Linked DNA regions of Alligator mississippiensis. The protein of the gene in region 1 purifies or fractionates together with the protein of each later gene. This does not show direct contact. Links are inferred from orthologs where the notes say so. Each region holds a gene or a part of one and is shown in the gene's direction. Other genes may lie near its edges. The genes, in order: PRKACA, AKAP11, AKAP9 and VAPA.

The links.
Region 2: the proteins of PRKACA (region 1) and AKAP11 purify together in Homo sapiens (affinity purification with mass spectrometry; 5 studies listed by BioGRID and IntAct, with this or other methods). This does not show direct contact. The link is inferred for Alligator mississippiensis from reciprocal best matches to the Homo sapiens genes PRKACA and AKAP11.
Region 3: the proteins of PRKACA (region 1) and AKAP9 purify together in Homo sapiens (affinity purification with mass spectrometry; 7 studies listed by BioGRID and IntAct, with this or other methods). This does not show direct contact. The link is inferred for Alligator mississippiensis from reciprocal best matches to the Homo sapiens genes PRKACA and AKAP9.
Region 4: the proteins of PRKACA (region 1) and VAPA purify together in Homo sapiens (affinity purification with mass spectrometry; 4 studies listed by BioGRID and IntAct, with this or other methods). This does not show direct contact. The link is inferred for Alligator mississippiensis from reciprocal best matches to the Homo sapiens genes PRKACA and VAPA.

What each region holds. Positions count from the first base shown.
Region 1 is NC_081831.1:24,685,175-24,693,675, forward strand, and holds the start of PRKACA (cAMP-dependent protein kinase catalytic subunit alpha), read left to right. Parts: upstream 1-5,332; 5' UTR 5,333-5,393; coding exon 5,394-5,526; intron 5,527-8,501.
Region 2 is NC_081824.1:408,764,750-408,772,546, forward strand, and holds the start of AKAP11 (A-kinase anchor protein 11), read left to right. Parts: upstream 1-4,523; 5' UTR 4,524-4,598; exon of another isoform or gene 4,599-4,803; intron 4,804-7,797. UniProt on the Homo sapiens protein: Binds to type II regulatory subunits of protein kinase A and anchors/targets them.
Region 3 is NC_081828.1:176,118,485-176,126,214, reverse strand, and holds the start of AKAP9 (A-kinase anchor protein 9), read left to right. Parts: upstream 1-4,238; 5' UTR 4,239-4,287; coding exon 4,288-4,381; intron 4,382-7,299; exon of another isoform or gene 7,300-7,508; intron 7,509-7,730. UniProt on the Homo sapiens protein: Scaffolding protein that assembles several protein kinases and phosphatases on the centrosome and Golgi apparatus. Required to maintain the integrity of the Golgi apparatus. Required for microtubule nucleation at the cis-side of the Golgi apparatus.
Region 4 is NC_081826.1:95,451,500-95,459,167, forward strand, and holds the start of VAPA (vesicle-associated membrane protein-associated protein A), read left to right. Parts: upstream 1-4,086; 5' UTR 4,087-4,323; coding exon 4,324-4,399; intron 4,400-7,668. UniProt on the Homo sapiens protein: Endoplasmic reticulum (ER)-anchored protein that mediates the formation of contact sites between the ER and endosomes via interaction with FFAT motif-containing proteins such as STARD3 or WDR44.

The sequences.
Region 1 (8,501 bases):
AGGTGGGGGGTGGGGGACCCAGCTGGGTCCACCAGAGGGTTGATTTTAAGGGGGTGTGTGTGGAAGATCATGATGTCAAGGGCATATGAGGATGAGGGCTGGGAGGCAGCAATGGTAGGGGCAGGGTCTGGCTTCGACCCCCCCCTCCAACAAAGGAACCCCAATGATATAAGTAGTGACCTCAGTGCCAGCCTGGCCAATCCTGGCATTGTGGGCATCAGATCTCTGGTGGAGTCTGGAGTTAAAGAGGGCATTGGGGTGGGGGTGCAGGTGTTTTAGGGTTAGTGGGGCTGGAGACACTGGGCTGGATTGGGCCAGTATAAACTGGTATACACACCACAATGGGGAGACCCAGTAGCTTCTCCCCCCTTTCATTAAGGCTTATCTTAAATTTAGGGCTGTTAATTCAGGGCCTTCTGCCACCCTGGTCAGTTTCCCTCGGTGGGAGGACCTGTCTCTGCAGAGCCCCTAGGGCTGGTGTTGGGGACCCAGGTGTCCCCCTTGTTTCTGGAAACTGAGGCAGGGAGGTTTCTGCAAAGCCCTGCAGCTGCCAGGGCCCCAATGATGGTGTCACAACCCCTCCCCTCCCCCCAGCCGTATTCTCCAGGCCAGGGCCAAGCACTTCCCAAGCCAACAGCAAGTACGAGCCTGAAGGGGGCGCCCCCAGCTCACAGATGTCTCTAACCCACCCATCTGGAAGTACTGGGCACCCACTCCAGCCCACACTCCTCTCCATGCCTCCTCCCACTCATTAATGTAGCCTGCCCTTCTGTGGCCCTCATCCCTGTGATCTAGGGCCCCTGGTGGGGATGGGCAGGATCTGTGGCATCTGTTGGGAAAGAGAACCCAGGCATCCTTACTGCCTTCCCTCCCCTAAGCTGATCACCTACATTTCCCCCATAGGGGAAGCTAGAACCCGGATGTCCTGACTTGCACACCCTGGCTCTAACCATTACACCCAGAGCTGAGGTAGAACCAGGTGTCCTGGTTCTCATCACCTCTTCTAACCCACCATCCTCCACTGCCCTCCTACTGCTGGGCGGAGAACCTAGGCCTCCTGGCTCCACCCCCACCCCAACTCCTGGTTCCCTCCAATCACAGCCAGGCAGCTGCATTTGTGGGGGGGGGAGTGAGCACAGGGAGGATCATGGGAAACAGGAAGTTGGATGCTTGGCTCCTTTGTGGTTTAACCCTTTCTTGGCTGCAAGGACTAGATCAAAGGGGGACATGGAGGCCCTGGAGCCATGGGTTGGGCAGTGGTCAGGCTTAGTAGCTGATGCCTGCCTTATTCTAGCCCTGCTGAATAGACACTGGTGAGACCTGCCAGACAGAAGTATGTTGGGACAGGAAGTGGGGCTGCCTGTGTCCCAGGCTCATCTTTGGCTGTGGCAGGCCCAGGAGATCATGGGAAAGCTGCAGCTTGTTTCCCCTTTAAACCCACCTTCAGTTCAGTATGAGGGGGAATAAAAAGCATGGATGCCAGATCTCACACTGTCTCTTTAAGGGGCCTGGGGGCAGCTGTTTATTACTGGATCCTATCCATAAAATGCACTGATTGGTCACTGCCCCCTGATGAGGGGGATGGGGGTGGGGGGGAGGCTTCAGATCACCTGGGTTCTGGGGTCTTGGCACTTGTCCCCTGCAGTCTGCCTCCCAATCTGGTCCCCCTCAGTGCAGGCCCGGGGAGTGCTGCCCCAACCTCCCTGGTTCCTTCTTGCCCCTGTGGGTATCAGAGCCCAGTACCACCTGTCCTTCCACCCCCCACTCGGCACCTCTATCTGCTGGAGGGCTGTGCCTGGCTCGGCTGACCCCTCTGAGGTTTTGTACAGAGGCGCAGGGGGAGAACTGTGACTTGGGAATAACCCCTCTAGAGATCCATAGTTTGGCCCTCAGACGGGGATCACACCACCACCGTGCCTCCTGCTTGGCCTGTCTACATCTTTCCAGAGGGGTCAAATCAGGAGCTTCCCTCCCTACCTGTCGGCCAAAATCCAGATCCCTGGAGGGGTTGTGCCTGGGAGCTCCCATCCCTGCCTGCAGGCTGATCTATGGCATCTCGGAGGTGTCAGGCAGGATGGGTTCCTATTCCCACCTGCTGGCTAACCTATGGCTCCCCAGAAGGGGCAAACCAGGAGCTTCTATTCATAGCTGTTGGCCAAGCTACAGCTCCCTGGAGGGGTCATATCCAGGGGTTTCCATCACTGGCCAGTCTACGGCTCCCCAGAAGGCTCATGCTTAGGGGTTCCTGCTACCCACTGGCCAATCTGTGGTGCCCCGGAGGGGACAAATTGGGTTTCCATTCCTAGCTGTTGGCCGTGCTACAGCATCCAGGAGGGGTCGCACCCAGAGGCTCGCTTGGCACATCTACAGCTCCCCAGAGGGGTCAGATCAGGGGCTTCTCTCCCTGCCTATTGACCAAACTCAGGCTCCCCAGAGGAGCATTCCCAGGAGGCCTCTGTCCCTCCAACCCCTGTACGGCACCCTGGAGGGCTCAACCCAGCCCAGCCCTCCAGCAGCAGTAGGCTTTTGGGCCCAAATAGATTGACCCCACCAGGGCACCGTAGGCCGAGCCCCAGGGCAGCAGAAAGTGGCAAGATGGAGGCAGGCGGTGAGTGGGGGCGGAAGGGATGGGGGTCCTCCAGGGGACTCCTGGGTCCCAGAGGCCCCACCCCAGCCCCAAACAGGTTTAATTTACCGACCTCCCCCAGCAGTGGTCGTCATGGGAATGTGTGGGTGGGAGGAGCCTCCTGAAGGGGGTTGGGCTGGATACATTGTTGAGGTGATGTGGTTAATGATGGAGGTCTTGGTGTCGCTGTGTGGGGTGGGAGGCAGGGACCTCATCTGCTAGTGAGAAACTAAGGCAGGTGTGGGTGTAATGAGGCAGTTTAGCGTGGAGCAGTGATAGGCTGTTACCCTCCCTTCCAGGTGCGGGGGTCATGATGGACCTGGCATTAAGCCTGTGGGCTGGGCCCCCCAAGGGGGCTGGAAACCCCTGATTGACTCCCATCTGGCCTTGGAGGCTGAGAAGAGGCCTGGGCAGCTAGGTGTGATCGGAGACCCACAGTCAGGGTCTGTTTTGTTTTTTTACCAGGCTTCTAGGCTCTTCTGGCAGCCATGTGGGGCCAGGAAGGAATTCTTCCCCACCCCTGCTGCTTATAGGGGTTTAGGTGTTTCTCTCTTCCTTCAACAGTGTCAAGTGCTGTCTGTAGCCCAGGATGGGGGTGAACTCAGACCCAGAGGGCCTTGGTTACATCTTGTTGCAGCTCAGGCTCAGCCTGTCACTACATTGGGGTCAGGAAGGAATATTCCCCCCTGCTCAAACAGGCATGGACTGGGGGGTTCCCCTTCTGCTGCAGTCCCGCCCTCTGCTTGGGGTTTCTGGAGTGCATTGAACCCCTCTGACAGCCTCCAGACTCTTGCCAGCCCTTGGCTCCATGAGGTTGGCCAGGCTAGGGGTGCCCATCTACCCTGGACCTCTGGATTCCCTCCTGGGCCCTGGGAGCCGCTGGGGGTCTGGTGGTGCTTGGGGAGGGTGAAGGTTCTGATAGGGGAGGGGCAGTGTGGTGGGTGGGTCCATCAGGACTCCTGGGTTCCTTCCCTCTCTCCCTTTGAGACTTGCAGACTTCTGCCTGGCTTTGCCCTTCCCCACCACTGGAGCTGGGGGCACTGGTAGGGTAGAGGAGGGGGTCATTCTAGCTTGTGCCAGCTCCCAAAAGGTTAACACCTCAGCAGGCGCTGATGCCTTTAAGGGCACCTGGCGCTGTGCCTGCCCTCCTCCCCAGGCTGGTCCCTGGGGTCCCTCCCTGCAACAATACCCAGCGGTTGGCACCGCCCCAGCCTGCTTGGCCACAGGATCTGCTGCCAGGGGAGGGGTCTGGCAACAGGGGAGGGTGCTGTGATCTGTGCTGGGGGGTGGTGGAGCTGAGCCTTGGAGTGGGGGGGCACCATGGAGGCAGCCCCTGGCAAGGTCTCGCAGGCAGGCACCAGTACCGACAGTGACTTCCAGTTCTGGCTGCAGGTCGTTCTGTGGCTGCACTTGCTGGGGCGGCTGCTAGGCCACATCCTCCATGGCTCCTGCAGGGGACAGAAGCGCTAACAGCCCCTACCCGCACCCACCACCCCCCAGCTTGTGCAGGGGGACCCTGATTGCAGCCACTGGGGCCTCGAGGCTCCCCCACTGCTGCCTCCTGGCACGGAAAGGCCTCTGCTCCCGCCTGCCCTGGCTTCCACTCTCCAAGGTCAAGGAGCCTCCATGCTTCCCCCACCATGCCCCACCCCAGAGCTGGGTGCAGCCTGAGTGTGGGCAGCTCTTCACGGACCTGCTGCCCCTTTCTCTGCTGCTGGTGATTGGATTGAGCTGATCAGGAACCCCCCTACTTCTTCCCCTTGGCTTGCAACCCTAGTAGCTGCCTCCAGAGGGCACTGGGCCTGCAGGTGGGAGGGGTCTCACTGTGGGGGCTGTCCCCTCCCTGCCCCCCCTCCCCCACCCAGGGCTCCCCTGCCCCCTCCAGCTGGAGCGACTATTTGATGCCTGTGACTATTTCATGCCTGTGACGTGTCTGCTCCATGGAAGTCAAAGGAGGAGCCTCTAGCCCTGAACCTGACAGGACCCTCAAACAGCAGCTGATCCTGGACCTGGGGGGACCCCTGGAGTGGGGAGCAGCCGTGAACCCCAGCCCTCAACCTGACTGTGATCCTGACTGGAGGCCAGCAGCCCTTGATCAGCAGAAATTGATCGACTCCCAGGAAACTGACCAGACCCCAGTCCAAGGCAACCTAACTGACCTGAAACTGACCAGCCCCAGGGGGGGCAGCTGGGAGACTGACTGGACTCCAGCCCTGGACCCAGGGGACACCCCCCCCCCCCCCCAGGCTGGAAAGGAGCCAGCAGCATGAAACTGACCGAACCCTCAAGCAGCAGCTGATCCTGAAACTGACCAGACTCCAGCGGCTGTGAAACTGACTGGACTCCCCCAAGCAGATCGTGAACCTGACCAGACCCCAGCCAAGGGCAGCTGTTGAATTTGACCCCAAAACTGCCCAAATCCTGATCAAGGCAGCTCTGAGGCTGACCAGACCAGAGACCCCAGCAGTGAAACTCGCCAGCCATCCTGTGACTGACATCTTGGTGCCAAGATCTCTGCACCCAGAAGCCAGGCTTAAGGGCCCTGTGCCAGGCCAGGCCCCCAACTCCAGTGAAGCCAGGCCGGATGGACCCTGGTGTAGCTGCCAGCTGAGCCCCCAATCCTTTGTGTCAAGGTGTGTGGGGGGGGAGGGGGCAGTCCAGGAATGGCTGCGGCTACCAACATTTCAGTGGCCATTGATCCAGCATGAGCCACGGGCCAGAGGTAGCTGGCCCCAGCCCCACCCCCAGCAAGGCCAAGGGGGGCAAGATGTCGGCACTGCAGAGGCTGGAGAGCCTGGCCGGGCGCATCTTCTCCTGGGGTCCACGGGGGGACCCTGGGGATCCTGAAAGCACAGGGAGGGTTCCTGAGACAGAGCATGCAGCCGCCTGGAACCAGCAGAGTGAGTGGGGCTTGTGGATGGGGCAGATGGGGGGACAGTGGGGGGTAAATCAGAATGATGGAGGAGGGGTCAGGGGGATGACCCTCTCCTGCCATGTTGTTGCCCCATCAGCTTGGACCCATCAAGAGCATCATCACCAGTGCCCCCCCACTTGCTGCACATAGTGGGAAACTGAGGCAGGCTGCTGGCAAACGGGCCCAGAGTGGGGTTGGGGAACACAGGAGTCCTGGCTGTCAGCTGGGCTGGCTGGGCTGATGTGTTAGAGGTAAAGATGGGACCTGGGAGCCAGGATACCTGGGTTTTCTCCCTGGCAGTTAAAGGGACTGGGGGGTTAGTGGTTAGAGCAAGAGAGGGGGCTGGGAGGCCAGACACCTGGGCTTTCTCCCAGTTGCCGGGAGATCAATGAGATCTAGTTTAGGGCAATCGGGATGGAAGCCCCGACACCTGAGTTCTCTTCCAGCTCTGGGGGAGGGGAGGTGGGAAGGGGAGTGCAGGGGCACTGGATACTCAAGGCTGTGACAGTGGCCCCTGACATGGGCACCCAGGCAAAAATAGCAGTGCCAGGCACCTGCCAGTGTTGTGCAGGCCCTTTTAAACCCCCTGCCTGCCCTTCCCTCCCACCCCCCCAAGCCATAGGGGGCTTTGGGTGGGAAGGAGAGTTTTGGTGGCTTTGGAACCCATCCAGGCTGGGAGCTGGGATGCCTGGCTTCTCTTCCCAGCTGGTGAAGTGAGTGGGGTTGGGATAGTGGATAGAGCAGGGGGAGGTTGGGAGCCCAGACCCCTGGGTTCTCTTGGCTGTGGGAGGGTTGTCTGGGTACTTTGGAATGGGGGTGGCTCCCGCCTCATCGCCCATTGAACAGGTCCCTCTGGCTGTGGCTTATCGATTGGGGGAGAGGGGGGCTGCTTCTTTCCAGGCCCAAGGCCATGGTGTCTGTCCTTCACTGTCCATGGCTGGGGCTGGCATAGGGAATGGAAACTCGGGGATGGGGGGGAGGTGGATCCTGCCAGGCTAAGGCCTGGGACTGGGCAGATCCGGATCTGCTTCTCCCCCAGCACCAGCTGCATTTGGTGCTAGTCCAGCATCTGTTACTGTTGGCTAGTTCTCCCTTGCCCTGCTGCCCCCAGAATCAGTCTCTCTTCAGTCCCCAGTGAGCCATAGCTTCTCCAGGGTTTGTTGCTATCAGCCATTCAGCACTGCCCTTCACCCCACAGCCAGCTTCATGTGGCAGTGAGCAAGCACCAGGTCCCTAAGCCACGTTGCTGGTGGCTGTTCCTCCTGCCCTGCTCCCCCCCAGAACCAGCTTCATCTCAGCCCTGAGTGAGTGATTGGTTCTCTGGGCACTAGTACTGTTTACCCTTCACCCCCTCCCTTGTTTCCTTCCAAAACCAGCTGCATTTTGGCTGTGAGCAAGGATGGGTCTTCAGGTTGCCAGACTCTTGCTGCTTCTTCCCCAGAGCCAGCTGCATTTCAGCCCCAAGCAAGCTATGGCTTGTCCAAGGCATGTTGTTGGCCAGTCACCTCCTTCCCCTGTTTCCACCTCAGAACCAGCTTCATTTGGCTGTGAACAGGTGGCTATCTCTCTGGGTCGTGTTGCTATTAGCCATTTACCTCCTTCCCCAGAACCAGCTGCATTTTGGTGCTAGCTGAGTGGTTGTGTCTGTGGGTCCCCTTGCTGCTGGATGGTTCCCCCCTGCCCTGTATCGTCTCAGAACCAGCTGCATTTCAGCTCCCGGCAGGTCGCAGGTCGTGTTGCTCTTGGCCTTTCATCCTATGATGCTGCTCCATCTTGGAACTAGCTGCATCTTAATGCTATTCTGCTCCAGTGCTGGTTCTCCAGGTCATGTTGCTGTTGGCAGTTCATCCTCTGCCCTGTTTCCCCCCAGCACCAGCTGTATTTTTGTGCCATTGGAGCAGTCTTTCACTGGGTGAACTGGTTGCTTGCTCTTTGTTGCTGCCCTGTTCCTCCTCGCCCCCCCCCCCCCCCCCCAGCACCAGCTGCATTTTGGTGCCATTCCAGTGATGGTTCACCAGGTCATGTTGCTGTTGGCTGATGCCCCCCTTCTCCCAATACCCACCCCCCAGAAGGAGCTGTGTTTTGGCACCAAGCAAATGGCTGGCTTTCTCTATGGCTTGCATTGCTATTGGCCCCATTTGCCCCCCAAACCAGCTGCATCTGGGGGTGTGGTGTGGTGGGGGCAGTAACCTGACTGCTATCCCAGGGGTGGCTGCACTGATCCCTATGTTGGGGGGGACAGGTGTGGTCTTCAGAAGGCTTGGGTGAGGGGGTGGTTTTGGCGCTGCCTGGCTCTCTTGGAGCTGATTGTGGGGAACCACCACTGAGTCTAGCTGGTGTGGGGTGGGAGGGGGAATAGCATGGGGCCATTGGGGGTGATAATAGGTACTTCAAGCTGGTCCCTCTTGGAGGGTGGGGGGGCAGGCTGTCTGATTGCCTTGAACCTAGCCCCTATCACACACCAACCCTCCCAGAGGTGGGAACCTGAACTCCTGGGCTCATTCTTTGGTTTGTTGTCCTGATCGATTGGGCAGGTGGCAGGCCTGGAGACCTGGGTTCTGTCCCTAGCACTGGGAGGGGCCCTACTGGGTAATGATTGAAGCAGGGTAGGGCTGGGAACCTGGACACCTGGGTTTCCTGCCCATCTCTGGGAGCAGGCCCTGAGGTCGAGAGGGGAGGCGGTTGAGGTAGGAACCCAGGTATCTGGGCTCCCACCTCTGGGAGGGATGGCATAGAGAAGGGAGGGGTTTTGGAGCCCGGACACCTGGATTCTCTCCCCTTCTCAGGTAAAGCAGGCAGGTCCACTACCAGCAATACCCAGGAGTATAGGGGGGCGGGGATCCCCAGGGGACAATTGGCAGCTGCAGGGTTTCTAGTCTCACCCCCTCCCCACCCCAGGCTGGCTCAGGGCCCTGTGGCTTTTGGGAGGGCAGGGTGGTGGAGGATGTTTGCTGTCCCTGC
Region 2 (7,797 bases), on another chromosome or scaffold:
AGATGCAACTCATTAAATAACCCCATCAGACCACTTGGGACCTTAAGCCAGTATGTAAGCCACAGTAATCCGAACTAGCTGCCTACAAACTCCAGGGCAGGGCTGAACATGGACTGTGGAACTAGGGGCTGGGCCATGTGTGGTCCATTGGGGCAGGTGTTGTTCATAGTTGTGGTGGAGTACATGTGCGTCAGCTGTGGCTGGGCCCCATGGTTCATGTAAATGGGTAGTAAGCAGTCTGTCGCTTGTGAAGATGGGTTATATCCATCGGTGGATCTACAATTTTAAAAAGGAGGGTGTATGTGGTGTGGTCCCTTTATTATATACAACCAGCACTTATTTTTCTTCAGATTAATAGAAATGAGAAACTTTACCCTAATATGCTAAGGGCCTAGAGCTATATTATTCAGTTAAGATCAAAGCAAATACAAATATAACTCTACTGGAACATGCGTTCATTTGCTATAGCATACAACATGTATTTAAAAAAAATGTAACTAAGAAGAATAATTAAAACATGTTGCTCCTCTAAGCCTGTAGTTCTTAGAACTGAATGTACATCTAAAACATAACAAATGCCATTAACTGGTAAGACCATAGGTCCGTGTTGCCCAGTCTCCCAGTGTCACACAGGCAGAGAGTGGAGGCTGAAAGAGAGTAGGCTGGGTATGACCAAGGCTCCCCACCCCCACCGTTGTTCTTCTCTAATTTGCAGCCTTCAACATTTAAGGTATAGTAAGTTCTAATTTGTCATATTGAATGAAATAGTTTGAATGTTTGTAATGGTTGCCCATTAGCCAGTTTCAGGAAGAAGATAAGATTTATCTCCTTATCTAGGTCATTGTTTTGGACTACATGTGGAAGATCCAGACTTTGCTTAAAGTTTTAACTCTTGAATTTTATCTTTACAAGTCTTTAACAAAGAGAACCTGAAAATTGACCCTTAAGCAAATATCCTGAGTTCCGAGAGATCAAACCCTAGAGCCTTTTGACCAGATTGGTAAGAAAAGGTCACTTGCAGTGATATGGAAGTTCCCCAAAAGTAATTAAAATGATCAACAAAAGAAATTAATTACTAAGCAAAAGAATCTGTTGAGTAAGATCCGAGCCCGAATTTGGGGGTAATGACAGGTTTGAATAGGAGGAGCCCAAGACGGTAACTCACTCAATAAAAACTGTAAATTACTCTCCCAAATTGGAGGTCACTATACTTGTAGAACAACGAAGGAAGAATCGCAAGTGTAGGCCGGATCAGACTGATCACCTGAACCACCCTCTCCGTGAACATGAATCTCTTAGTTCACGCTGAAGCCGCAGAGCACCTGAAAGGGACTGAAGGAAGGGGACTTAGTCCTATCACTGCTGAGGCCAGCCCATTGAATCGTATTGCTGAGGAATGAAACCATATTTAGGTGTTTGGCTTCTTGGAATTCTAGGATTGTAAGTATATTATGAAAAATAATAGTATTGATTCAAATTTAACTTTTAATTGTAATTGTAGTTGTTTTTGTAATACTAATTCTTATAGCATTGTTTGGGAAGGCAGTGCATTCGGAGCATTGTTTCTGATATATGTAATTATTGTGTTCTTAATGTTTGTGGTATTTCTTAAAGCTAAGCAGTGTTATATGCGTAGCAAAGAATTTAAAAATAAAATTGTGTTGTATGAATTAAGTGTGTAATCATTGTGAAATCGTGCAATCAACTAACTACTCCCCCAGCCAGTGCATCAAAACGAATCAGTAAATTGTGTGGGATTTTCTCTATTCCATAACCCACTAGAGACATAATTCAGAGGCTGTATCCTTAACTCCTGTCCTCAATAGCTACCGATGCCCGTTTCCTCCAAGGATTTGTTCAATCCTCTTTTTGAATCTGGCTAAACAGTCAGCTTCCACAACATCTGCTAGCAATGAGTTCCACACTTTAATTGCACCTTGTGTGAGACAGAACTTCTTTTTGGTTAATTTTCAGCTTACTCCCTACTTGTTTTATGATCATGTTATGATTTTTTTCCCCAGATTCCTAAAATGCAACCTAGCTTTCTTGAGCATCTTGAACCAGGCATCCAGTGCTTCATGGAAAGTTATAGCCACACCTCAGTTACTGTTTTTTACTAGAGTTAAAAATGGTGTAATAGTATCTGCACTGAGAGAAGCAATGATCAGACAGCCCAGTGGCAGACTGAGTGACCGCCTTTTCCAAATTGGAAGGTGGAAAACATGCCCTCAACCCTGTCCCCTGCCCCTGCTGGAGGCATGGCTGGACTAGAGGTGAGCGGGGCAGGGGTGGGCTGCCCGCTGTGGCCTTGGGGCTCCCAAGCCTTCTACCCTTTCCCTAGGAGCCCTGCACTGGCCATACATCCCCTGCCCACCTAGCAGCAATGGGAGGAACAACTGCATACTATTGCCACCCTGGTTGCTGCCATGGTGTCATGGGGCTCCCAGGGGAAGGGCAGCAGGGGGGAGCCCTGAACCTGCTGTGGGCAGCATCTGCCCCATGCACAAATCTGGGAGGTATATCCCCACACCATGCTCCCCTCAAGGAATGCATACCCTCCCCCATTCCCCCTGGATGAGCCGCCTGTGGCTCTGCTCCAGCCCAGGGGCCCCATGCACCACCCTGGCTGGGCAGTGTCCCAAGCCCCACTCTCTCCCTCACCATGGGCGCCTCGATCTGCCGCCCCCCAATCCCATATACTTACCTGCAGAGAGTTGCTCCTCACACTGGCTGGCTGTTTCCTGTCCATGTGCAGGTGTGCGTGGCGCCCCCTGCACCCTGTTCCCAGCAGCCCCTTGCAAGCTGGAACACTGCCAAGCTGCAAGGAGAAACCTGGATCCCGAGACACTGCTGCAAATCTGGGACAAACAGCGACTTGGAGTCGTGCAGCCTGGGGCCGGGACTATGATGATCCCATTCTGGGACTGTCCTGCCCAATTAGGGGACGGGTGGTCACCCTAGTGGCAGAAGCAGCAGCTTGATTACCGAGACATCAAGAGCATTAAAAAATAAGACAGAGGGTAGTTAATGCATCTAGAAGGCAGAGTCGAAGGAATCAGGTGTATTATAATGAGCCATAAAGTCAGGTGACTCCCCCTCAGCTGCTGCCTGCTGCCAATGTCACAGACAGACAAAGGTTTTTGGGTAGATGTAGTATCTTTTATTAGATCAACTAAGTTGGAAAAAACATTCTTTGCAAGCTTCTGGGCATAAAGAAAGATATTTGTTCCCAATAACTCTGCAGAAAAGGACCTGGGGGTTACAGTGGACAATAAGCTGAATAGGAGCCAGCAGTGTGCCCCTGTTGCCAAGAAGGCTAATGGCTTGTATTGGTAAGAGTTGCTAGCAGGTCAAAGGGAAGTGATTATTCCCCTCTATTCAGCACGGGTGAGGCCACATCTGGAGTACTGTGTTAGGTTTGAGCCCCTCACTACAGAAAGAATGTGGACAAATTGGGGAGTCCAGTGGAGGACAACAACAATGGTGATGGGGACTGGAGCATGTGACTTCTGAGGAGAGGCTGAGGGAACTGGGCTTATTTAGTCTGGAGAAGACTTGAAGTGGGATTTAATTGCAGCCTTCAGCTACCTGAAGGGAGGTTTGAAAGAGGATGGCAGGAGACTGTTCTCAGTGGTGACAGATAACAGAACAAGGAGCAATGGTCTCAAGTTGCAGGAATGGAAGTTTGGGTTAGATATGAGGAAGAATTTTCTCACTAGAAGGGTAGTAAAACACTGGAACAGGTTACCCAGAGAGGTGGGGGAAACTCCATTTATTGGAGGTATTTAAGAGCTGGCTAGACAAAGCTTTGGCTGGGACGATCTAGTTGGGGATGGTCCTGCTTTGAGCAGGGGGATGCACGAGACCTCTTGAGGTCCCTTCCAGCCCTAAATTTGTATGATAACTTGCAAAGAATAATTTCCCCAACTATTTAGTTGGTCTAATACAGCAATTCCCAAACTCTGACTGGTTGCACACCACCAGTTTAAAATGATGCAATCTTAAGTACCACCAGCAAACTGTTGTCATATAAAATAATTATAACAAATCTGTTAAGCGGGATAGGTTGTCTGCGTACCAGTGGTGGTACCCCTACCACAGACTGGTCTCAAAAGATCACATCCAGCCAAAGGCCCTTGTCCGTCCATGTCCTTTACCCCAACACGCCTGCCGCTCTCCGCAGCTTGGTTTTTAGCACTGGGTGGAGCACGAATCAAACAGGGTGCCATAGCATCTCTCCCCCCGCACTCCGGCAATCAGACCTTCGCTGGGGCAAGGACCTGCCCCCCGGGGCAGGGGGCGGGCCCTGGGCACGTGGCGCAGCGGCGGGGGGAGGGGCGGGCGCAGGGTGTCCTGGGGTGCTGGAGGCCCTCGCGTTACGTCACCCGCAGGGGGCGGGCCGCTGCCCCATCTCGCGGTGGATCCCTCCGGGCTTCGCCCCGCCCCACCATTCTCCAGCCAATAGGCGGCAAGGGAAACGAGCACGTGGTCCTCCCCGGGGCTGTACGCCCGGCCAAACCTCGCGAGAGGCGGGGCGGCGGCGGTGACGACGGGACTAGACAGGACATGGCTGCGGGCGGCCGAGGCTGAGGAGCCAGGTAGGGGCGGGGCCCGCGCCCCTTCCTGTGCGCCTGGTCTGTGACCCGGGGGGGGCGGCGGCCGAGAGCCGCATTGTCCTCCCCCCACCTCGCTCCCGGCCCCGGCGGCGCTGGGGCTCTTGGACCTACCCCCGGCCCCGGTTTTCCAAGCGTCCCCCTGCGCGGTGTCCTGCAGCCGGAGCATCGACCTCGCACGTGGATGGAGGTACCGCTGGGTCCGAGCCCTCTCTTTTTTGTTGTTGCCCCGAGTCATATTTTGCAGCAAAAACTGAAAATAAAAGAGACGTCTCTTTGAAACTTGTCTCAAGCAAATCGTTGGGGTGGCAGGGACAGGACGTTGCTATTTTCTTTCTCTGTGGGTTCAGACCCAGTTGGAAGGTGACCTCATTTCTTCCCAGCACTGAGCAGATTGTAGCCGATCCTGAACGAGGCGCGGGAACCTGGTGAGAAGCATGGGTGGGCTATAGGGCTGGAGGGATCCAGCTTTTAACCCGGCTTGTTCCAGCCCTACGCCCTGCCCTTGTTTCTCGCCAGGTTCCCGAGCCCAGTGTAGGATCGGCTGCAACCTGCTCAGTGCTGGGGGGAAATGGGGTCAGCTTCCCACTGGGTCCGACCCCTCAGAGGAAGAAGACAGGTGTCATCCGGTGCCCCAATGATTAGCTTGAGACATTGCCACTCTTTAAAGTTTCAAAACGGTGTCTTGTTTTGTTTTTGTTTTCTGTGGAAAATGTTACTCCAGGCAAAAGAAAAAAGGGTTTAGACTAAGTGATACCTTTGTCCGTGTGCAATTATTATGCTTTTGTTTCAGGGATGCCAAGCGCATGTTTTCCATGTTGTGTTCACCTGTGCAGTTGGCATCCTTTAGTCGAAGGAGAAAAGGCATGGACTGTTTCTGTTCTGCTGTGATCATGTTTTCAAGGCCTCTGAGAATTTGAGATGATAAATCTGCCGTGTTTCTGAGCATGTTCGTAGCATCATAGAGGAGTCAGGCTGGGAGGGATCTCCAGAGATTATGTCGCCCAACCCCCAGCCTGAAGCAGGATCATCCCCATATGCTTTATCTTAAGCAAACATTTGATAACTCTGCAATCGGTTAGAAAGTGTGTTTTTTATTATGGTTGAGGGAAAAGTAAGAATTAAGTGAAGAGAAACTGGAAAAAATGGTAGAAATCAGATATTTTGTGTGGTTTTATGTCTTTCTGTACTAGTTCTGTAACATAATTTGGGTAACGAATATTTGTTCGTATGGTTCACCATCAAAAAGTAAATAAAAATAGCCATGTTAATTTTGACTTGGTTGCTATCAGCAACCGAGGACTTGGCATTTGCCATAATCAAAAAAAGCTTGCTTTTAACATTTGAATAAGGTATAAGCCAAGTAACTAATTTATTTTTATTTCTCTATCAGGTAATTATATAGCTAGAACACCTCCTAAAAAACCTTTATCTATTGCAGTAAAGCGTGAAGAAGTAGCTAGCAGTTCTAGGGGAAACTGTTATGAAATAAAGTCTTGCTAACTTTTTAAATGGCAGAATGGTGTGACGTACAGGTTATACACTAAAGATGTGTAAGTGTTAAGGGATTTAATTCAATGTTTTAATTTGCTGTTGGTGTTTTTTTCTAAGGTATTTGTTTGTTCTTTCTGTAGCCGTATTGACATTTGGTCAATTGCACATTGAGAAAATCTTTTTTGTTTTTGTATAAAATAAAGGCTGCAATTCAGTGTTTTTGACAACTCCATGACGATACATCAGTGAATAAAAGATAAACTTTTTCCTGTTTGCTTGGGTTTTTTTGTTAGCAGTTTGGAGAGAAGAATCTTTGAACTTAAATCTTCCAGCAGGTCTAGGCATAATGACATCTGCAAAAATAACTCCTTCTTTAAACATGCAACACGAGCATATATTTTTACAAGGTTCATTGTAAAGTATTTCAAAAGGTGAAGTTACTGAATCTACAATTACAAATAATGGTATAATGGCTATCTACTGTTCAGTGGGGGAAAAATTTCTCTTGGTATCAATTTTGTCATGGGGAAAATAATGTATCCTTTTAAAACTGAGGTATACAATAAATGTCATTTATTCAAGCACACCTATTCCTCTGACAATTTATAGTCAAGACAAATGCCTCCATTTGGCATAAGTAAAAAAAAAACAAACTGATTTTCATTCCAGAATGGACTTTTCAAATAGCAAAATGGCTATTTCTATTATGGCAAAAAAAGGGATGAAGGAGTGGTGGTAGGGGGCTATGCTCAGTACCAGGTCACCCAAGGCTGAACATTGGTGGCATGGAGCAGGGTGGCAATCCTGTCATCCCTTTCTCCTCCTCCTGCTGCAGGGCCAAGAGCTGCAGGTTTAATCCTCTGTCACCTGCTGCCAAACTGGCATTAGTTTTTGGCCAAGGAGCTGGGGGAAGGAGAGTAGAGTTGATTGAACTACTGGAGCATTCAGCCCTGGGTAAGCCTGTGCTGTGGCAGATAAGACTAGAAAAATCTCTCTCCCTTCCTTCTGCCACCCTGAAACAAGCTATGTGTCTTATTTGTGGATGTGCGGTATGTGAATAACACATCAAACCTCTGCTGTGGTGATGTGCTTTCCCACACTTCACCATGTTTCTGGTTACTATGGAGGCAACTTATAGGTCAGGGGGGAAGGGTGTGAAAACAATTTTTCAAGGCTCTTAACTGTGTTGGCCATGATGATTGATTTAAAAGTCACATGAAACATTGAAGAAAACATTAAAACCTGGGGACAGAGAGCCCACTGAATTATCTAGTCCACTCTATTGCCAGAATAGGATCATTAAGAACACAGGTTCTTAATGATATCCATTTTTGCTAAGATTGCAGAAGAGTTTGAATGATCTCTCTACATAACTTTTTTGACAGGTGGAGAATCTGAATGAAGATTTTCCATGATTGGTCTTTCCCTGAAATTTACTTTTAGGCAGCTTCTTCAGTTGTTTTGGCAATGAATGACCAGGCAGACAGTTTAATTATTGAAACAAAATCTTTCTGCACTTTAGACAGTGCTATAGCTAAAGGGGTTGCTCTTTGAAACTTGCAGTTGGCTTAACTTTACCCTCATCAATGACTGGTGCCTTTTTTTTGGTTTGAAAATATGATTTAATAAAGGTATGAAGGCTGCTTAAACTGCTTAAAACTGGCTTTCAACCTGTGGTCTGTGGACCCCT
Region 3 (7,730 bases), on another chromosome or scaffold:
CAGGTGCAGCTTCTAAAGCTGGTATCATTCATTATTCCTGGGATCAATAGAAGAAACCAACTTGATTGCTATAGCTGCTGTTTCCCCTCCAAAACAGGCTCTTCAGGATGTAGAATAGGATGCATCAACCAGCCAATCCCCACGCTTAAAACTACCAAGCAGTGGTAAAGCAACATTACTCTGTTGGTACCCAGTTGTGCAGGCTTTATAATGTCAATCAGAAATAACTAATCAAACTATATCCATAAGTGTATACTTACACAAAGCAGTTTCATAAAAAACAGCTTCAGTGTTAATCCTTTGTTACATATTTTAGGATAATCAGTTCTCTCTCATAGTACCAAATGCTTGGTATGTTTTGTCAGAAAATAGATGAAGGGGCTATGAGAGCTGTTTAGGAGTGGGGAAGGAAGTTTTGTATGTAAAATAAAATTCAATTTTTTCATGAACTATAATTTTCCAGGTTTGTTTAATAAAGGAGATCCAGTTATAATACAACTAAATTGTTTGAGCTCAGCTGTTATTAATGATTCTTTATTTTTTATAATGCAGTAGCACCCAGATCAGAGCAGGCATTATTGTACTGTACAAACTAACAAAGACCCATTATCTGTCCTGAAGAGCTTGGGTCGTATAGCCCTGATCCTGATACTGCAGTCATACCCTTGCTTAACATGACACTAGTTGATATCAAAGGGATTATTCAGATGTCTAAACTAAGTATATGCCTCACAGTTTGTGCTATTGAGACTTAAATGCAAAAGCATGATACTAGAGTTCAAAGACGTGTTTCTACTTGGAAAATAAGCTCTAAACAGCTACTACCAAGTGGTCTTTTTATTGCTTATACTTTTTTTTTTTTTGTATTTTCTTTTTTCATTATTATCCACTTGTCAGAAATGACGGATACGGCCAAGGGAAAGGAAGCAGCATTCCTCCAAAGCGGCCAGGGATTTTTCATTTAAAAGCTTTGTGCTATTTAAAATGATGCCTGACCATAACTTTTCTGCCCACCGGTCAGGGTGAGCGAGAACGTGTGTTCAGATTGCCTGGACAGATGCAGGGTGGGGGAAAGTAGTCAAGAAAAAAAAATCAGGCTAATGAATGAAGTGAATATGCAACAGCTCTAGTAAGTCCATTCAGCCTAAATATATTGCTCTAAACCCACGTCCTCTAGTTTCATGCTGCCTCGCTTAGCAGCAATGTATCCCAAGAGTTGCTCTCTGATCAGCCCACCTTCCCTGTGCTCCGAGGGCAGGTCTGGGGACATGAAGCTCCCATCAAACAACTCCCCGAGTCAGGCGATGGCCAGGGGGCAAAGCAGCGCCTCCTTCCCCGGGATAGCGACTGTCCTTGTCCTGCCGCGGCTTCCCTCGGGTCCTGGCACACGTGCTTTCTGCTTCACTCGCCCGGCTGCGCCTCACTGCGGCCACGTGGAAAGCACAAACGCCCCAGGCTCGGTGTGCTGCCGGATCCCCACCCTCTGCGCTGTCTCTGGGGGCTAACCAGCCCACCATGCCTGTGCAGGGTGCTCCTCCTCGACGCAGGGTAAAGGTGAAAGCCAGAGGAAGAAGGAGTCAATTCTCATACAGAAGAAACCATCAGTTTCGAAAGGCTTGCATGTTATTCCGGTGCTGCCACCTAGCAGAGCTTCGTTCCCATTCAGATGTATTGGTTTTTTCAAACTAAGCCTCTGGACCAGGAGATGGCAGTGTAAGACAAACTGAAGTCATATTTTGGGAGCTGCAGTGCATTAAGCATATAACTGAATAGCACGCGTTCCCAACCTACTGTAATATTTAAGACTTCAAGGGGTAATAACTTTAAAGAGAAACTAAATTTAAACTGAATTTTTGGTGCACACCTATTTTTTTGACACGAAAAAAAAGCATGCGCTGCAGACCTGTACAAGGGAAGCTTAGTAGAATTTCTCTTCTAGTAGCAGCAGATTTACTTAACGATCAAGATTTGTAACTTGCAGGAGAGCTGTGTTGTTTTCTGACTGGTGACTGTTTTTAGGAGAACTTAATAAAGCAGGAGACAGTATTGGTAGCTCGTGGTGGTTGGTCTGTTACAAACACAGGATTTGTGTTGCAGTATTGTGTGTTATAATTAAGAGGCAAAAAAGTATCACTGACATAGGATACCACATTGATGCAGTTATGCATGACTAAAGATCAGTTTTTTCACAAGTGTTTTACCTGTCTTCCTTTAAAAGAAAATCTTTATTATTTGCATATCACTTTATCAGATGTAAACTGGATAATTTAATTACACGTTGTTCTTTTTTTTCTTCCCCCCCCCTTTTTTTGTTGCAGAAAGTAGACTTTACCTGCTGCTTACCCACAAAATATGTTCAAAATTGATCTGAGGATCAGATTTCTGTCTTGGAAAACAAAGACCTGACTCTAGTCCTTGGTTACTGAATTGGAAGTCTTTATTTCACAGATAAAGAATACAAGTATTAGCAACAACAAATAAAAATTCCCTACCCACCATCCCATAGTTTCAAAATCAAACCTGTTTTGGTTAACAGCGATTCACAGCTCTGTTGTATGCAAAGACTCCATCCATCTACGTAAGTTTGACATTGGTCCAGAACGCTCTTGTAGAGAATATGGGATGGAGAAGTAAGCCACTAGCATTCTGACCAGTGGTGACAGGTCTCTAAAATGTTTGTCAATAAGGTCTTGGGTAGCATGAAACAAGGAGCAGAGATGCTGGTATTGCCATCCATGTAGCTCCATCAAATTGCCTTTGTCTACGAAGTCATGAAGTAAATTAGTAAAAAAAAAAAACAATGTGTCTAGTGTTGTCATCATCATATTCACAATGGGGCCCAAGTATTTTCTTAAATCAGAGATTCAGAAAAGGCAAGGATTTTTTTTTCTTGATTGATTTTCATTTTATTGTAAAGAAAGCTTTACCTACCTTTACTGGACTAAAAGGATTAACAATGCATTAGGGTAAATCTTGTCCCTAGTGCTCAGTCCGACAACAGAACTCAGGGGTGGAGTAGCTTCAGTGGCTAGATCTGAACAGTATCTGATGCATATGCACAGTAATGGGTCCATTCCCTTAACTAACCTACCTACCTCTTTTCCTACCCATCCCTATATAGCTGTCTGGCACTGGCTTTGGGGAGCCTCTGTGATGATTCATAGGGTGTAGGAATGTGCACTTTCTTTACAAATTCTGCATACACATATACACATTGCCTGATGCTGACCCATTCAAGTTCTGCTTCACTTGAAACCCACTGTACCTGAGGAGGTGGGGAAAAATTAGCCACTAAGTACCCAGGCTAAGCCTCAGGTTCTTAACTGGATTTACAAGTTCTTCTGGGACCAATAGAGCATGGCATGTCAAGCCTTATCCTTTAAATAAAGGTAATAATACTAAAATGCATGGATTTTAGTGTGATGTAATGCTTTAGGACTAATTCTCATTATGAAAGTAATTAACTTCTACAAGATATTTTGGGACATCTTAAGACTTAAATAACTTGGGCTTATTAGCAACTGCAAAATTCAGTAAAAGAATCTCCATTCTAGGCACACGTTTTTCCAGATTTCTCAGTTGTGGCATCCTTTCTGATCCCTGGAGTTCCTCTTTACACATTCAAATGTAGAAATTCTAATCTACTGTGAAATATAATCTGCAGATATCTGAAGGGAGGCAGTGGGAACTGGTTGGTACCTACTCTGGTAAACTAATTTCATTCCCCAAACCTACGGAAAACACATGGACATTGCCTTAAAGGTTATAAGAACTTTCATATTATTCATCAAAGTTTCATATTCTATTTAAAATTAATAAAAATAAATAAAATTAATAATTACATACATACAAAAGATAGGAGGAAAATAATATTGCTTTTTCAGAAATCAAGTACGTACAACAAGCATAAATGAATAGTATTCTAAAAACTTAAAGGAAACTGGGACAATTATGCATAACTCAGAGTAAAATATAAGTTTCCTGTAATATCTCTGAATACGTCAAATGATTTGCTATAGAAATTGATCTTCAGCACTTAGCTGAATTAGCAAATGTCAATCAGGTGCTCTAGAGATAATTAATTAATTACTTGTATTCCTTTCAGGCTTGCTTAAATTACCTTGCCTAATATATTATGCCTCCAGAATAAATTATTCATCTCACTAAACTTGTTCAGCTGCAGACCTTATGCCTCTTTTCAACTACAGTATTTATAGTAAAGCAACAACCAGCTCATACCAACAATATTTGCCACTATAATTGAAGGATAAGATATAATAATGAAAAATGTCCAAAAAAAGATATGTGGCGCTTACAATCTGTCAAACTATAAGCTGCACAACTCCAGGATTCAGAATACAAAGACACTCCTCTTCAGGGGGTATGTATTATTGCAGTTTTACAAGAGGTCTGTGCTTCTCTAATTGTATGAGTTAGTGATTCTTTTAATCCCTTTTAAACTAAAGAGAAACATGGTGGGTGTTCAGAAAATGTGAAAAGCATTTATTTTAAGTTCACACATGCACCTTTAAGGTTTGTGAATGAGTATGCTTGTATATATGTATTGAATGAATGCATGCATAGAATGGGGGGGGGGGGGCGGCACATGTTCAGATGCAGACTGCAACAGTCTATAAAAACATTCAATAAAACTTATCTTGATTTACAGAACACTGTGAATATTTAATAACAATAATAAATAAAAAGAGTCATATGCAGGAAGGAGTAGTATAGTGCTTTTGTTGGATATAGCTTGTAAGAATGGTGTTAATTTACAACTAATGTAGAAGCATCAACACACTTTTGTGACTTCCCAAAAATTAAAATGTTATGTTTCCTTCCTTCCAGTCCAAACTGTTTCATAGGCTTAGATTGTTAATTGACTAAACAAAATATGTAAACAGATAAAAATAAAAATGTGGTTAGGAGACCTTGATCAACCACTATATTAATCACAAGCCACAATGTATGTTTTTAAACAAACCTTGTCATCTTATTCAAGGGGGGTAGAATGCTCAGTTTTCGCTCTTCAAACTATCTCATGTCCTAGCCACTCGGCTTCCCTAGCAGACTTTAACAATCAAGCCTCTAGTATTAATCCTGTCAGAAATTGTACTTCAATAAAAATTTGGAGGAAGAGAGTATGTGCAGAAGAAATGTTTATCATTTTAAATAGAATATTCTATGGTCAATAAGTCAAATACTGCCTGAGATTTCAAAGGCCTTGCACCTATGTACACCAGGACTGAATTTGGCCTTATTAATCTATCTAGCAGTTATCTTATTAGGCTTCTGAAATAACAAACTTTACACATATTACTTAAAATGCTTCCCTACTGCAACCATGGTGACAGTAGCCCACAGCATTCTGGGATCAGTATATACATCAGTGCAAAGTAATGCTCTGCTGAGCTGTGGAGCAGATAGTAAGGGACTGAAAGGGGTGAGGAAACAGAACTGGTGTAGCAGACTGGCAAGGGATGAGGTAAGGTATTTGTCAAGTTAACCTCTTATTCCGTGTTTATTCTCATGCCAAAATGGAAATCATTTTTATAGTTACTGCAACAATCTAATGCTGGGTGTCTATCCTGCTCACTGAATTTCACTGTAAAACCTCCACTAGTTTTTCAACAGAAGCAGGCCTTGATCAAATAGTGTTTTAGGGATAGTCTGTTCTCAAATATCTTATTTTTATATGATATCATTCACAATTCTGTTCAGTCTATTCTTTTAGGTGTAGGCTTTGTACAGCACATCTCAGTGTAACAATAGAAGGGTGGGACTGCATCCATCAGAGGCAGGGAGCTAGCATGCTGCTAACTGACTGATACATTCATTTATATGTGTACACTCACATTTTTCAGCGCAAACCTAAAATAGGAGAGTTGTCATATTGGATGGCAGGAAAACGTTCTGATTTGCAGGGGGGGCATAGTCTTACAAGGCAGTCGGTTCTGAAACAGTCGTGTAGTTCATTTAGGATCTTTTTCCTTCAATATTTTATTTACTATACAACCCATGTATAGTTGGATTCACAAACTATAGCCTGGTATTAAGCTATCTGTCTCTGGTAAGTCATCACAGTATCTCGGCATTTAGCTTTAGGCTTCAGTGACAAATGTATCTGTTTAGTTCAGGGGTTAGCAATTGATGGCCCCTGGACCCAATACAGCCCATAAAGAGACTGTATCTAGCCAATAAAGCTGGGATAGTGGTAGGAGGAATTGGCAGCATTCAGCAGTAGAATAATTGGTCGCACACGACAGCAGCTAGATCCAAAAAACACCTTTTGACTAAGCTCTGTTAATTCAACCAGACACTGCTAAAAGGCTGACCTCTGATCTAGTTCCTTGAAATTCTAGAACTTCTGCGATTCATTCGTGCAACTGAGCAAGGATACACTCCACAATTGTAACTTTCCACCTGAAGTCCTTTCAGACTCTGACTACAGCAGGCTGTAGCAGAGGTGAGATCATCCTATTTTCCTTTGGTTTCTAGCTGGCAAGTAAAACTTCATCTCCACCCTCTGGCATTCCAATTTTTTAAGGTGTACCAGGGAAAACTTCACAAACCAGCAAATAGAAGGCAGGCTGGAGGCAATGAGGAGGGAGAGATCAATTGTTAGGCAAAGTTGTGTGTCCTGATGTCCATAAGGAAAGAGATTAATGCTGTTGCTTTGCACAGAACCCCTTAAGGATAGTCAGCTTTGATAGTCAAAGTTAGTTTTAATGATGTTTATAATAACTGTTGCTTTGTTTTTAAAAATAAATAAATGATTGAAGTGCTGATTTACATTTACTTACGTTGGTCAGGGAATCTCGGATCTAGATTTTAAAATTTGTTTTTATGCTAAAAGTTTAAAGCAATTTACTCATTTGTCTACGGCGTGTACTCAAGAAAGACTAGTAAATGAACCAGGATTATTAAATATTGATGAACTGAGGGTTGACCCTTAATCAAGCAGTGTCTTAAATTAGCCAGTACTGATCGTCTTTCATCTGGGAATAAAAATATTTCTACAGATCAAACTTTAAGTGGCTAAATGGCTAACTGAGTTGTAAACCTACAGACCAGCTGACTTAGTATGAAGTTATATGAATTTCCACTCTATAATTAAAGCAAGAGATGCGCTCTTCTGTTCCTATAAAATTGCAAAGGTTCTCTTCCCATCCCCATACACACACTACTGTATTAGCATTAACTTGCAAGATTTAGGAGGGAAAATTGAATGATTAAGTGTTATCTCTTTAAAAGGAGGGCAGCACACCTCTTATTGAACCAACTGCATGGTTAGGATAGATTGTAGACTTGGGTATCACAGTACCCTTCCTAGGGTGTCTAGAAGAGAAGCAGGCACTGCAGTTAAATAGCAGATGGAACAGGACAGTAAATAGCAGTGTAAAACAGGACACAATGGAAAATGTAAGGTAGCTAACAAAAAAAGAGATGTTAAGAACCTGATGAGTGGATGAACAGCATTGTTCAGGAGGGTCATTATCACCTGTGAAGTAAGTGAGATTAGTGAATATCAAACAGGTTATAATGGATTATAAAGTCACTGTCTATGTTAAGCCCCTGGTTCTTCTTGTCCAATTGTTCTCAGGCATGTCTTTTAATGGAAATGTACAAAAAACCTTTAAGTACTGTACAAAAACTGTGACGTCAGACAGGGAATGATTATTCTTTAAAAATCTTCTCTCTTACCTGTGTTCTAGTGTCTATGTCCTTTA
Region 4 (7,668 bases), on another chromosome or scaffold:
CCACTCAAGTGAGGCAATTGTAGTAACATTGTTTCCTTGTTATCTAGTATCTCCTGATAGCACAGTGGAAGAATGGATTGGATTTCACTAGCAATTCAAGTCTTATCAAAAGGATATATAGGATCAAGACAATAAACCTGAAAAGTATGTAAGAGGTGATGTTGTCTTGAGCTGAAGACTATGTCTCTTGAGTTTAACCTACTTGATTTACCACTGTCCAGATAAAGAGTAAGGAACCAAATGTCATAATCTCATAAAGTGATTTCCTGCTTTCTGGGTTTAAGAGACATTCCATTAAATGATTTTCCCAGTTTTATTCCCATAGAACTGAAGTCAGATTAATTATCATTTGGCAAGAGGCCCTTTTGGTCAGCCTATTGTTTAAGGTGTTACTGAAACCTATTATCACAACCTTAAATTAGCAACCCAAATGAGTCATCCAGGAAACTCCATCCAGCTGACTTTTCCCTCAGGAAGTAGAAATAAAGGGGTCTAAAATGTCATTTCTTATTGGAGACAAAGGAAAAAAAGATGAATAAATGTCACACCTTATGTCACTCAATTACTAACCCATGATTCACACTTTCAGAACGCACGATCTGAGAGTTCTTAAGAAAAGTTAAATAGTTTGCTCAGTTCTAAAAAACTGACACAGTAAAAATGGAATTTGGGGTTCCCAATTTTTTTAGCATCACAGAAACATCCACATCAAGTCTGTTAGTATTACAAGCAAAATTATATTTATTCTAAATACCTTGGAAACTCAGCGTGAAATGTAAGAATCCCAAGCATCCCTAGAATAGATATTTAGCCATTTGAAGGTCATTAAAAACTAATTTCTACATTGCTAACAGAAGTAAAAATACAACTGAAATTAATTTTTGCCATTAATAATAACATTAAAATTAAATAGAATTAAAATCTGATGGTATTGTGCTAATCACTATTAATTTATGGAAAATGGGTTTTGGCAGACAAACTATTACTGTTTTGTGTGAATCAAAGTTTGACTACTGAAGGTTACTCTGTTGGTCTTATGTACTTACCCTAATAGAGGACATTTGATTTAGTGCCATAGGATGATTAAGGAATACCACAAAAACATGGGGTTCTGAAGGGACCTGTTTTTGGTCTAATGCTTTTCAATACCTTTATGAATGATCTGGAAGAAAATATGAAATCATCCCTGGTAAAAGGTACAGAGGACACAAAAATTGCTGATTTAATTGAGAGTGATGAAGTCAAAATTTTATGTGTATTTTTAATGGTTGTCTATAAAACAAGAATAACTACAGAATATTCTTTATGTATTTCTTCGTGACGTTCCAATGCATCAAAGCAAAATTTAAAGAAATCTTTAAGTTCTCACTTATTCATAATTTATGTGTTGCATGTTGAAACCTAACAGATTCTCACTGGTATCACCTGCACAGTAACTCTATAAATAATTAACTCTTAGCTGTCAAAGGACTTCATCAGTGATACCATAGATGTTTATTTTTTCTGAGTGGAAAGGGAATAAATAGAATAGTCTCTCAGATAAAACACAAGAACGCTAAGCTAGTATATGACTGCTCAGATACAAACATAGATCATACCTGCAGTACACTGGATTTGTAAGGTTACTACAGAAATCCGATTTCTTTGCCTTGTGGGATATTAACTAAATTTTAAAATGATTAATCTCTAATCTTCCAGATCTACATAAAATGAACCAGAAACTTTTACTCTAATTAGCCAGACACACCTGTCAGAAGCAGCTTTTTTTGTAGATCTGTCTGCTACCCCAGCAAAACAGTAATAGATAATTTTTGATGACTTATAACATACGGAGGCTGGGGTGTTAGTAGTGACAACTTTTTAGATTCTTACCCTGCATATGTGCACATGCTTACGTTAATGTGTGTGTCAGTTCCTGTTTTTTCGGTGGATGTAAAGTTAAGATAGATAAAAGTCTGCAGGATCAGGGCTGTAGACAACATAACTTTTATTGATTATACCGATTACTATATTTAGTCAAAACCAAAAGTGAGGTTTTTAAGACGAGGTCCCACCCCCCACCAACATGGGGGAAAAAGCTTTGTCATAGATTCAAGTAACATCTTGGGGCAGGGGGCTGGTGTGGCCCTGGCTCTGGTGCAGAAGCGGGAGCCACAGCAGCTGCCTGCCCCACACTGGGGTGACTTATGCGGGGAGAAGGCATGTGATGGAGGACGCACAAGGGAAATTACACAGTGGGGGAGGTATGGGGAAGACCATGCAGTGCGGGGTGGGGTGTGTGGGGGAGACCCACAGCATACAGCTTGTGGGGAAGTGAGGGAGAAACAGCCTGACCACCCGCCATTGACTTTCCACCCTGCCACTTATCTGTGGCTGGGGGGGGGCGGGGGCGGGGAGGGAAGGGGCAGGCAGCAGGGACATGGAGCCATAGGTGATGGGAGAAAATATTAATTGAGGGGTTGGGTAAAGCTTAAAAGATGCTTTACTGTGCTGCTTTGGGGGGCGGGGGTCAGTGTAGGGTGGGGTGTAGGGGGGTGGTGCAGGGCAGTGTGGGGCACGCCTGCCTGACTCCTGCCCCTCTCTCACGCAGGGCTATTGCAGGGCCACCACATGCTAGTGTTGTATGTGGCGGTGGAGGAGCATGTGGTGGGGGTGCAGGGTGTGGCGCTGCAGCAGCAGGGTGTGGCAGTGGTGCTGGAGCAGTGAAGCCACGCGGCGCTGAGAATGCTTGGGACGCTGGCCTGGCTGCCCACCAAGCAGCACCGGGCACTGTGGGATGGCAGCACTGTGGTGCTGCTGCTTGTTGAGCAATATATATATAACTGTGTTTAATGGATATTTTTGTAGTCAATAAAGCTTCTGACTGATTATCAGATGAGTGCTGGTGGTTAATCGCATAGTTCTCCTTGTCCACAGAGAAGTAGAGCTTGAGTTACAGCCCAACACTGCCGTCACTGGCCGCCACAAAATTAGTTTGGAGGGGCTAAGCCCCATTAATCCTCGACTTCTGCTGCCGATGCATGGGGCAGCAGTTTGGAGAGACAGACAACTTTCTTTGGTTAATTTTAAAGCTCCCACCCACTAATTTAATTTTATGACCCCTTTGTGGGCGAGACAGGCCTGTCACCAGGTCTGAGGAGGAATGACTGGCGTACGTGACAGCGGGGAAGGGTTTTACATGCAAAACCCTCCACCAGCCCTTAACTGCAGCCAGTGCTGGGAAACATTATGCTGTGAAGAATGAAAAGGAAGAAAGGCTGGCTCTTGCTTTTTGAGTCTCATACAAGAGCTTTTGGCCAGGGTGGCTTTGGAGAGGCCTCCCCGTCTGCATTCATCTCCACGTTCTGCTCCAGCTCCTTTAGCAGGTTACAGGTGACCCCAGCCTGAGGCCCTTGGGACAGGTCCCTCCAGGCCCTGCAGCAAGGCAGTGCCCTCTCCCCAGGCAGAGGGATGTAGGCTATGTGGAGGGCTGCCTGTGGTGGGTGTTGTGATGCACTCCCCGCCTGGAGGCAGCAGCACATGGGCCTTCAGAGCCAGCAGCTTGGAAGGGGGTGTATAGGGTGGGGCAAATCCACAGGGGCTGCTGTGTACTGTTGGGCCCTCACCACAGGGCTGAGACGTGCCCCTCACCCCTGGGGCTCCATCAGCCCCTGCTCAGGGCCAGGATTAGCCTGGCTGCTCAGTGGCGCCAGTGGTAACAGCTTTGCTCACGGTACAGACCCTGGAAGGACTACGAATCCCAGCATGCACCGCGCCCCCCGGTCCGGCGGCGGCACATTGCATGCTGGGGCTCGCAGTCCTTGGAGGGTGCGGCAGCCTACGCCTTGAAGGTCGCGCATGCGCAGTTCTTTCCTTAGTTTTCCCTTGCGAGTTTCGCTCTTTTCCAGCTCGCGCGCCCCCTGCCGCTTCGGCGGAGGCAGCACGAGACCCAATCGAGTGCGCTGTCAAACGCCAAACACGGGTCGGGGGAGAGCGCGCACGCGTGCTCGTTGGTGCATGCGCAGCGTGTCCCCCTTCCACCCCCACCGCGGTGAGGCTGGCGCGGGTTCGCAGTACGCGGGCCGTTGAGTCAGTTCCGACAGGAAAGGGCGGGGGGAGCGGAGAGGAGCGGAGCGTGCGCAGGCGCACGGAGCGGGGACGAGGCGGCGTTGGCGGCGGCTTGGCTCGGCCCGGCTCCGTGGCCCCAGCGTCAGCGCCACTGCCCTCTTCCTCCTTCTACCTCCTCCCCCCGCAGCTGCTGCCGCCGCCGCGCCACCCCTCCCCTACTGTCGCCAACTGCCGCCGCAGTGAGGGCGCGAGGCCACGAGCGAGGCAGCGCGCGCGATGGCGGCCGCGGCGGCCCTGGCAAAGCACGAGCAAATCCTGGTGCTCGATCCGCCCACCGACCTCAAATTCAAAGGTGCGGCCGGGGTCGGGGCGGCGGTGGCGACTGCGGCGGGGTGGGGGAAGGGCCGCGGCCCAGCCCGGCGCGGGCGCAGAGCGGGACGCGGCCCCGCCGCCATCTTGCGGGGCCGCCAGCGCTACTTAGGCCCGGCCCAGCCCCGCCAGGTCCCTGGGGCGGGGCGGGGCGGGGCGGGCTCCCCTGGCGCCTCTGGGCCCTGCCTCCGCCGCAGCGAGCGGTCGAGGCTGAGGCTGGAGGATCGCCCTGGGCGGCGATGAGTTGGGGGCAGTTCCCTTGAGGCGCCGGGGGGGAGGTGCTGCCACGTCGAGGGCAGAGTCTGGGATGAAAACTTCTTTCCCCCGAGCAGTCCGCTGCACGCATGCCCCCTCCCGCCCACGCCAAGAGCCCTTTGGGAATATTTTGGGCAGTGTCATTTTGGAAAGTTGCCCCTTTGCAGCCCCAAAAGGGCGGGAGGAACTGGGCGTCCATCTGGTGACAACATTGCCTTTGAGATCTCGCAAGTGAATTGGCTCAGAAATGCCGACTGGCTGCTCTGTAGCGCAGCTGCACCGTCTCCTGGATTCCTGGGTGCTGGGTTTACCCGAGAAGGGCAGGGTGAGAAAGGGCGGGTGTATGCTAAAGCAAAGTAAAGCAGAGGTCACGGCGTTGTAGCGTAGGCCTGTCCATGCAGAATATCCTCCCGAGTTGAAAGGAAGCAGCATTAATGGATGAGAAACAGATGCGGGGGGGTTTAAGACTTGCTGTCCTTGACTTATTGGGCGGCCAGGTACGCATGAAGCCTAGGAGCAAGCTAATTAATACTCTCAGCATGAACCACTAGAGCAGCAGAAGTACGAATTGTAAGTGGAAGCTATTTTTTTTTCCATTTAGAAGTCTTGGGAAGGCTTTCGTGGAAGGCCACGTGTGAAAGCACGCGCATGCTCTGAAGCACAGCAGTGTGCAGTCATTTAGATGTGTAGCGGAAAATCAGTACATCAGTTCACGTAGACCTGTGTGCTGTTCCAACATGCTGCTATCCCAGCACATACCTGTCTGATTTCATTGCTCAGTGTGCATACTGAAAACAACTCTTTCTTTCCTAATGAACTAACATTGACTGTAAGGTGTTGGCAGAGTGAAGCTCTAAATCATGTGGTCTCAGATTGGAAAGAGGCATTGTCCTGTAAAATGTGTGCTGGTTCAAATCTAATGTGTCAAAAAGTTGGGTAACTTTGGTAAACTCTTGTTTTTGTGATTATAACTGATTTGCCTAGATTTTTCCAGTGGCTCACTCAGCAAAGTACTATCGCATTACTAATGGCATTCCAGAAAATACTAATGTCAAACAGAAATCCACTTACGAGTTTTATAGAGACAAAGTACCTTTGACCACTGACAAATAGCTTGAATCATACTCAACTCTTGGTCCCTTTTTTTTCCCCCAGACTTAGTAAAATTTGGTTCAGAAGGGTCTAAAAGCATCCCATTATCATTGCTGTGTTTTGGGAATGATTCCCATGAATAAGATTAAAATCCATTGTTTCTAGTATCTGTAGTCATTACAGGTGTCTGACTTAAAACCCCCGTGCTTGAATGGCATAAAACCAGTTCTCTTTCTTCATATAGTCAGTCATAGCCAATTCTGTGAGTTTGTAAAATTAATCAGGTTCGTCTGTTCATTATGTGATGGTTTTTCCCTTCCAAATGTTTTACAAAATGATTTTAATTATTTTTTCTTTAAACTTAATGGTAAAAACCAGATACAAAGGTGAAATGAATTCCTGATCGTCTCAGTGTATCACTGGCAGAGCTGAGAACTTTAAATTTGTCTCTCTTGCAGCCTGGTCTAGTGTGTGTGTTTGTTTCTTAATTTGTGAACCATGCTAGTGCCTTTAATGAGCCATTTCCCTTATTTTACACTAAAGTATTTAGTATACAAATTGAGATTTGGGAAAGTATAACTAGAGGATTACAGTAGATTTTGAAATGCATTATTTGCTTTAAAAACTTTTAGATTGGAAAGTGGAACATCTGTTATCTTTAATATAGGTTATTTTCACCTGAACTATGTGATAAAAATACATTTATCTGGAGTTCTGGTTCTGTGAAACCCATTTGAAGAAGCTGTAATTTTAACTCCATGAATCTCTTGAGGGTAAAAATATATATTCCATTTTTCTAAAAAAAGTCACCTGCTTAAATATTGGTACTACAAGTTTCTTTTTAAATCTCTCTAGTGCTATCTTAGGATCTCAACGTGTTACTCTTTAGAGTGATAAAGACTTGTTTTGAATACACCTATATTCAGAAGTTGGAAAAAAGAATGGATATCTTGTATTTAAGTTACTTTTTTGGGTGGCAGACCTTTTTTTTTATCTGTAAGCTCCAGCTAAACCTTGCAATGAGGTGTGTTTTTACCTCTACTGTCAAAATTATTTCAAAATATAGTGTTCATCACTGACAAGTCAGTTGTTTTGTCAATATTTATTAGAAACATTTATGGCCTGTTTCAGTTTGCCTTCACATTCTGTTTAACGTAACCTGTTGAATATTCAACATATTTAATTTTGAGGGTTTTTAAGCATTAGCAAGTATCTTCTCTTCTGTCAAGACTATTCCATTTTTGTAGAGGAAGTAAATTAAAAAGTAACTTAAGATGTAAATGTTTAGGATGTTAAAAATTTATTTGATGGATTAAGTTAGTTTGTTTTTTTCAGTTTGGAAATTGAAGCGAGATTAGCTAATTTATGTACTCTTTGGGTTGCAAATCCTGCAGAGAAAAATATGAATGCAAATGCACTGTTTTGTTTGGAATTAAAAAAATATGGAAATATATGTTTATAGTATGATTAAATTCGGGGATTAATTGACATGATGGTGACTCTCTAAAGTATTAGCAAGTGGTATTTTACTTATGATCATAGTTCCAGTAATTTACCGGCTCTTGAAAAGGAGCAATTTCAGATTTTAAAAAGTTCTCCTTTGCGTAAGGATTAGTCTCATGAAATATTCTTTATTGACATCCCTGTTACACACGTCATAATTATGTTTTGGGATGGTTTAGGACTTTTGCATCTCTGCAATGCTTACTGTGGGGGCCCTTTAGGTCTCTTTCAACTCTTCTGTTCTACTCTTTTGCAGTTTACTTGACAATGTAAAAAAAAGTATCTTTCCAGGTGAGAGAGAAATTACAGACAGTAGTATGATTTTTAAGGTTCCTAGTTTTGTGTTGTTTTCTACTAGAAATTAACTGGATAAGTAAGCATTTGACTATCAACCCCTGATCT